2 linked regions of the Cricetulus griseus genome follow. Each later gene encodes a partner of the first gene's protein in a complex. Links are inferred from orthologs where the notes say so. Each region holds a gene or a part of one and is shown in the gene's direction. Other genes may lie near its edges. The genes, in order: Tnfsf13b and Tnfrsf13c.

Evidence for each region.
Region 2: the proteins of Tnfsf13b (region 1) and Tnfrsf13c are in contact, whole or in part, in a crystal structure (PDB 1OQE), measured with the Homo sapiens proteins. The link is inferred for Cricetulus griseus from reciprocal best matches to the Homo sapiens genes TNFSF13B and TNFRSF13C. Residues at the interface, in NP_006564.1 of Homo sapiens: Ser162, Tyr163, Asp203, Thr205, Tyr206, Ala207, Met208, Gly209, His210, Leu211, Thr228, Arg231, Cys232, Ile233, Pro264, Arg265, Glu266, Asn267, Ala268; in NP_443177.1 of Homo sapiens: Asp26, Leu27, Leu28, Val29, Arg30, Val33, Leu37, Leu38, Arg39, Pro41, Arg42.

The regions. Positions count from the first base shown.
Region 1 is NW_023276807.1:70,486,952-70,490,585, reverse strand, and holds part of Tnfsf13b (tumor necrosis factor ligand superfamily member 13B), read left to right. Parts: intron 1-1,660; coding exon 1,661-1,773; intron 1,774-1,857; coding exon 1,858-2,008; intron 2,009-3,634. UniProt on the Homo sapiens protein: Cytokine that binds to TNFRSF13B/TACI and TNFRSF17/BCMA. TNFSF13/APRIL binds to the same 2 receptors. Together, they form a 2 ligands -2 receptors pathway involved in the stimulation of B- and T-cell function and the regulation of humoral immunity.
Region 2 is NC_048595.1:379,361,648-379,365,563, reverse strand, and holds the start of Tnfrsf13c (tumor necrosis factor receptor superfamily member 13C), read left to right. Parts: upstream 1-1,719; 5' UTR 1,720-3,916. UniProt on the Homo sapiens protein: B-cell receptor specific for TNFSF13B/TALL1/BAFF/BLyS. Promotes the survival of mature B-cells and the B-cell response.

The DNA.
Region 1 (3,634 bases):
TCCAGCACCACCGCCTCCCTGCCCGCTTCCTCCCAGCCACCCCAGCATCTTCCTCAGCCCCATCTATGTGTGGTAGTGCTGTACTTGAGGAGGTAATTTAATGACTTTTACTCACTGTGACTTGAATTCACAGTGACATCTGCTTTGTTTTACTGCTGATGTTTTGCAATTCCTTTAACATATTTGGAAAATACGTGGTTCTTGTTTAGTCTTCTTCTGGTGAGGGCCTTATTTGAATTGGGTATATAAATTAGTGCACCCATTGTACAAAAATATATAGAGTCCCCTCCCCCAAGTTAAAAGTAGAACTGCAGTGTGATTTAGCAACCCCACTTCTGGGTTTATAGATAAAGAAAACTAAATCAAAGAGACACCCATTCTCCCAAGTTCATTGCAGTACCTATCACAGCAGCCAAGAAATCAACCCGATGCCCATCAACAGGGGAATGGGTAATGGTGACTCAGGGCATGAAGCAATGACTACCATGTGGCCGTAGAATGGAAGGGTATCCCGTCCTTTGTCACAGCGTGGATGAACCTGTGAGACAGAGACACAGTGATGTAAACGTGAATGGGGTTCTCTTCACCTCTTTAGGACTCACCTGATTGGCCCTTGAATCCTCCTCTCCGCCCTTTGGTTGACAGAGGTGATGCTTTAAAAGAGGCTCACTATTTCTCACTGTACCAGAATGCTCTGGCATCTTTACACTCACACCACAGCGCTGCTTACTATGGTGTCCTCACTGTGCCATGACCCTGGTCCTCTGCCAGTTGCTTTCCTTCAGTCTTCTTTATATCTCTTCTCATTGTCTAGCTTTGAGGTTTAACCTAAAGCCAATGTTTTCATACTGCAACTGTGCACACTCCGGCGTGAGTAAGCTTTTTCTTAGGAAATGTGTGCTTGCAGATCTCCCTGAGATCTAGGCAACATCTGCTGTATTGTTTGGCTTGGTTCCCTCTGCTGCTCTCTCTGCCCTCTCTGTCTTCCTTCAATACAGGCTGGAGCACAGTGTCTTCCTGTCACTCTGGATAGGAAATGCAGACAGCGATGGAGACATAGCCTGTACTGTGAAGTGCTCAGAACCCATCATAGCCAATGTTGTACTCCTGGTACATGGGTTCTGAGCACTTCCAAGTACAGGGTATGTCTCCGTTGCTGACCGAACTTCCTAGTTGTGTTCTGCTGCCAGATTTACTTCCTCCAGACACATTTTGTTGATTTCTTCACCTGATTACTCAGAAGATAGAAGAAGATACTCTTGAGTGTGCTGTGCAGGGGAGCATCCAATTCTCTCTTTCTGGCTTTCCCACCCAAACCAACTTTAATAAGGAAATAGCCAATATACAAAACAAGGAAAGAAACCCAAACATTCCTGTGGAGTGAAGTCTGTTAGGCACCAAGGTTACCCATGCTAAAATATGTAATAGCACAATGAAGATTTTCTTCTTCTTCTTCTTCTTCTTCTTCTTCTTCTTCTTCTTCTTCTTCTTCTTCTTCTTTTTCTTCTTCTTCTTCTTCTTCCTCTTCCTCCTCCTCTTCCTCCTCCTCCTCCTTCTCCTTCTCCTCCTCCTTCTTCTCCTTCTTCTATTTCCCTTCTTGGTGGAAGGGAAAACTGCTTTTCTCAGTTTGCTTTCTTATGAGATATTATCTCTACTACAGGATCCTACACATTTGTTCCATGGCTTCTCAGCTTTAAAAGAGGAAGCGCCTTGGAGGAAAAAGAGAACAAAATCGTGGTGAAGCAAACGGGTTACTTCTTCATCTACAGCCAGGTAGTGTCAGACCTTTCCTCATCTTTCCTGGTCCAGTGCTTCCACAGTCTTGCATATCTGACAACATCTTGGCTTGTTTCTCAGGTTCTATACACAGATACCATTTTTGCCATGGGACATCTTATCCAGAGGAAGAAAGTGCATGTTTTTGGGGACGAGCTCAGTCTGGTGACCCTGTTCCGATGCATTCAGAATATGCCAAGAACACTGCCCAACAATTCCTGCTACTCAGCTGGTATGAAGCTGTCCTAAGACTTGTTTAACAGGATAATGTAGACTGTGCTGGGGAAATCTGATCCCCCCAAAGTGGTTCTTTGTGATCTTAATGGAAAGGCCTTCTTCTGTAGACCATACTGTTTATTTTGCAATAGTTTGTGTTAATTGAGAAAACCAGTGTTGTCACTAATGGTCAAGCCATTTTTATAAAAATTAAGAAGGTGGCTGAAGAGACAGCTAAGCAGAGAAGGGCACTTGCTATTTTTCCAGAGGACCCAGGCTTGATTCCTAGCACCCACATGGCAGCTCACAACTGCTGGGATTTCTAGACCTAGGGCACCTGACACCCTCTCCAGTCACCTTGGGCACTGTACATGCATAGAGCCCATATATCCATGCAGGAAAAATACAAAAACACACATGAAAAATATTTAAATGAAATAATTGTGTTTTAAAAATTAAGAATGAGTGTCACAGGGTTTAACATTGGAGCGATAATTATTTTTCTTCTATCCCGTGACAAAGTATATGATTTTTAGTCCTTCTTATATCATTGTTACACTCTTTAGCCACCTTTCTCTTCTGTGGTGTCCCTTCTTCTTCTAAGCAAGCCCCTCCTGCTTTCCTGTCTTTTTCTGTGTTAGCCCCACTGAGATTAATTATGGTAGCTTCATGAGCATGGGAGGGAGGTTATGGAGCCTGAGCAGCGTTTTAGTAGTTACACTACTGAAGACAATGACAGTTGTCTGCCCCTTCCCCAGAAGCCATGAACTGTCAATAGTCTTCCAGGAGAGGTGTGGGTTCACAAGCCCCTCCCTAATCCCGGAAGCAGAGCTGAGGGTCCCAGTCTTGTTCTGGTGCTGTGCAGGAAACCACAGTTGCAGCAACAGGAACAATGTCTACTCATTGGGAAAATTCTGGTCTTTCTTTTGCTGCTCAGTTATCTGTCTGCTTCACCATCTGCCAGTCATGCTTCCTTACTTTTGTAACATTCCCATGTGAGGGAGAATGCCAGCCACAGAAGTAACATGGCTGCTCCTTAAGTGCCTCAGCCTCAAGTTACAGCACTGCTGTCCCCACAATGTGAGTGTGTAATGGAAACAATGACCCCACTCATCTCTGAGTGCAAGGAAGAGCATATTGCAGAATGCCTGGGTTAGTTCTCATGGGAAAACAGGTGGCCTTGTACACATGACTAGTTGTGAACTCAAAATTGCAAGAGAAGCCTTGCATGTAGCTCAGGGACACAGATGCTCAGGGACACAGATGCGCAGGGAAGACAGACTGTATCAGTTCCAGTCTCTCCACTCTGGAACTGGCAACATTTTACTCATTTTGTTTCAAATTAATAGGCACTGGTATTAGAAAACTGTTTTCCCTATTAGGCATGTGTGTTTCTCTCTACTGGCCTTCACAAACCTATTCAGAACCGGAAGAATGTCTTTAGTCTCAGACAGTTACAGCAAACAGCAATGTGAAAGCCAGGATTGTGAAATACCTCTAAAGTATCTGAAAGGTCTTTACAAACACCCGATAAATCAGCTGCAAGCAGAAGAGAACACAACTCCATCACAGAGGCCATGCCATACCAGATCTGCAGCCCGTAATGACTTCAGTGATCAGGAGGAAGTCTGTCATGTTGGAA
Region 2 (3,916 bases), on another chromosome or scaffold:
GTGTCTGTCTGTGTCTGTGTCTGTGTCTGTCTGTGTCTGTGTCTGTGTCTGTGTGTGTGTGTCCAGGCTGGCAAGAGGCACTTGCTTGCTGAGCCTGACACCTGAATGTGCCTCCCAGAGCTCCTGAGAGTTGCCCTTGGCATCATGCGCACTGTAGCACATGTATGACTCCACTCACACACATTGTGGTGGTTTGAAAGAAAATGGGCCCAGGAGGTGTGGCCTTGTTGGAGGAAGTGTGTCACTGGGGGTGGACTTTGAGGTCTCATATGCTCAAGCCACGCTCTGACAACTTCCTGTTGCCTGTGGTATTAAGATGAAGCTTCTCTACTCTCAGCTCCTTCTCCAGCACCATGTCTGCCTGCACACTGCCTTGCTTCCCGCCATGATAACAATAAACTAAACCTCTGAAACTGTAAGCCACCCCAATTAAATGTTTTCCTTTATAAGAGTTGCTGTGGTCATAGTGTCTCTTTAGAGCAGTAGAAACCCTAAGGCATACATCATACACACAAATAATAAAATAAAAATTTGGTTGTTTTTTAAGCAAGAGTCTTGTGTAGACCAGTCTTGCCTTGAACTCCTAATCCTGCTGCTCCATCCCACCCCAAGTGCTGGCATTATAGGTGAAATCCTCAGCACTGAGGAGAAAGAAAGAAAAGAATGCATTGAAGTCATAGCAAATTGTTCAAAGTGAAAATTGTTGTTTTTTTTTTTTTTTTTAAGGGCTGGTAGGTTGGGCTGTGTAGGGAGCCATCCCTGCATTCTCCATTACAATGATGGTGCCTGCAGGCACTGAATGTAAATTATTTCGCAGGCGCTGGGTAATTTCCATTTCTTTGATCTCTGCCTATCCCGTGGCTCATATGGCCTGAGGAGCTGAAGCCATTCATAGGGTGACACGTCCCAGGCGGGGCTGCCAGCCTTTATTAGGGGACGGGATTCTTGGCTCGGGGTCTCCGCTCTGGTAAGCTTATGCTCTCCTCTCTCAAGATGCATTAAAGCTTTCCTGCAGAAGGATCCGAGTGTCCTGTGTGATTCTTGCCGGCGAGAACATAGCGTGGGACAGGGCTGGTGGAATGTGTGTTTAGGCCCAGCTACTCAAGAGGCAGAGGCAAGAAACTTGCTTGATCTTTGAAGTTTGAGGTCAGCCTAGGCAACATGGCAGTATCCTGTCTGTCATAAAGAGATTTATAAATAACAAAATCCATAAAAACAAATTAAAAAGCAAAAATCTGTTAGAAGGAAAATGTGCAAGCACTACAGTGAATTGGAACTAATTTCTTGGTAGTCTCATAGTCAAAAGTGACACAGAAGAACTTCTGGCTTGAGAAGGTGGCACTGGAGGATATGCTAGCCCCGGGGAGACACAGAAGCCCACCTCCTCTAGACTATGCCCTTTGTGGCTCTCCACTGCTTCTTCCTCAGTAAGCTAGAAATGTTATGTGGAAGGATGAACTTGGGGTTGGAGAGATGGCTCAGTGGTTAAGAGCACTGATTGCTCTAGAGGTAGAGGACCTGGGTTCAGTCCCCAGTGTCCACATGATGGCTCACATCTGCCTGCAACTCCAGTTCCCAGGAATCTTAAGCCCTTTTCTGGCCTCTGAAGGTTCTTGCACACACATGGTGGACAAACATACACTTAGACAGACAGACAGACAGACAGACACACACACACACACACACACACACACACACACACACAGTATTACTCCAGAGGCAGAGGCAGGCAGATTTCTGAGTTCAAGGCCTGCCTGGTCAACACAGTTTCAGGACAGCCAAGGCTACAAAGAGAAACTCTTTCTCAAAAAACAACAGCAACAACAAAAGCAAAACTAGCCCAGCAGTGGTGACTCAGGACTTTAATCTCATCACTTGGGAGGCAGAGTCGGGCAGATCTCTGAGTTCAGGGACAGCCTGGTCTACAGAGCAAGTTCCAGCACAGCCAGGGCTAGTACACAGAAACTCTCAAAAATAAATAAATAAATAAACAAACAAACTTGATTTAACAGCTATGAAAAACAATACATTGACGTATAGCCTAACATTGCCTACATTGGTGAGTACCACCTCATTCCCTCTGCCTTTCCCTCTTGGTCTTGTTATCACTTGATGGGTCTCATAGCCCAGGATGGACTCCTCAAACCTACTATGTAGCCCAAGGATAGCCTTGAGCTCCTGGGCCTCTTCTGCCTCTGCCTCCCTAGTGCTAGCTGATATTACAAGTGTATTCCATTATGCCAAATTTATACCACACCATCCGGATGGAACCCAGAGCTGCTTTGTGCATGCTAGGCAAACATTACACAGCTGAGTTACATCATTAGTCCCAAGTCTCTCCTCTTAACCATGTAATCATCCAAGCAGAGATTCAAGGACTGTCACAGCCTCCACCCCACCCCCATAGAGACACAAGTGAAAATACTTGGCTGAGGTTGAGCACCTGTACATGTCAGACGTGAATCCCACAAGCCTTTGCTGTCGCCGGCTTAGTCTAGCTCCTTAGTCTATGGGCTCGATGGGGCCCATAGGAAATGCCCAATAAACATTTGTGTCATGTGAGTAATTTTGCTTCTGTCCTCCCAGACCTCAAACGTCCCTCTCTGGCTGAAGTGAAGGATTCTTTCATTGTGACTGAATTACAGCCCTCTTGCTTCATACCCGGAGATGGCCTGTCTGCTGCAGGAGCCTGAGTAACTAGTAATCCTCATCCTGTTGTGAAGTAGCATCTCCTTGCAGGGCAGCTTCCTTTGTGTGGCCCTTGGGAATTTTCCCAACCTGGGCCCTGCTGGGCTTCCCTCTCCCAGGACTAGATTGCTGGCCCTGGGTTTCCATGAACCCCAGGCTCTTCTTCAGTGTCAGTATCGGACACAACAGTTAAGATGCCTGGTGCATAGGCTGGGCTCCATAGCCCTAACAATGATTGAGTAACAGCAACTCAGTAGTGACAGAGGGGGTGTGAGCAGAGGGTTGCAGCCAAGACTTCTGGTCTTAACCTTCATGCCTCTCAACTATAAGAAGGGCTGGCTCCTGCCCTGGCTCCTCTCGGTGCTCCTTCCCTTTCTCCACCTCCCCATACACCCACACCCACACCCACCTCCCCACACCCACTTCTCCTTTGCAGCTACCCTGCCGCCTACACCTTCCTGCCTTCAAGTTGCTGGCCCATAGGCAAGGGGATGGAAAGGCAATGGGCCAGAACCCCGAGAGACTGACTGACTAGGGTTCTGTGTGAGTCCCCAGGATCTCCAGTGACGCGCTTTGATTCTTTCACTCCGTGTTCAGCTCTGCACCTTCCCCTACCCTGTACTAGAGCACCAGCCTCCTTGCCTCTCCAAAGGCTGCAGCCTCTGGATGCAGCCACAGAGCCCTTGTGAGTCAAGGCAGTGAGACGCACACCCAAACACTCCATGTCTCCTCACTGCCAGGCCTCATTCTCCAGCTGGACCCTGTCCATCTTCAGCAATGGTGCTCTCCTTTATCCCAGCACCCCACAGCAGTGGCCATGTCTGTCCCCCAGCATGTATGTGTACAGCCCTTCACCATCGCAGGCCTTTCCCATGCCATTTCCCCTTGAAGCTGCTAAAGATATCCCTCAGCCCCTAACCCTGAGGCCCACCAGGGGACTCCAGGCCTGAGCTCCCAGCTGGGAGCTCCCTCAGGCCCTTTGCAGCCCATGACTCCTGGGAAGGGGGCTACATATGTCCCAAGCTTCAGAGAGCTTGTTTGTATGACTGACAGGGTTTGAGAGAAACTGATGAGGGGCAAGTGGGAAACTAACACTGGGGACCCAAAGCCTGATAGAGCAGGGGCCTGGGCAAGGCACAAGCACGACCAAGCAGGGTCACAGGGCTCCAGGGAAAGAACTGCAGGGAGACAGGTTTTGCTAATCTGCAGATCCCCACCCCCTCCAGCT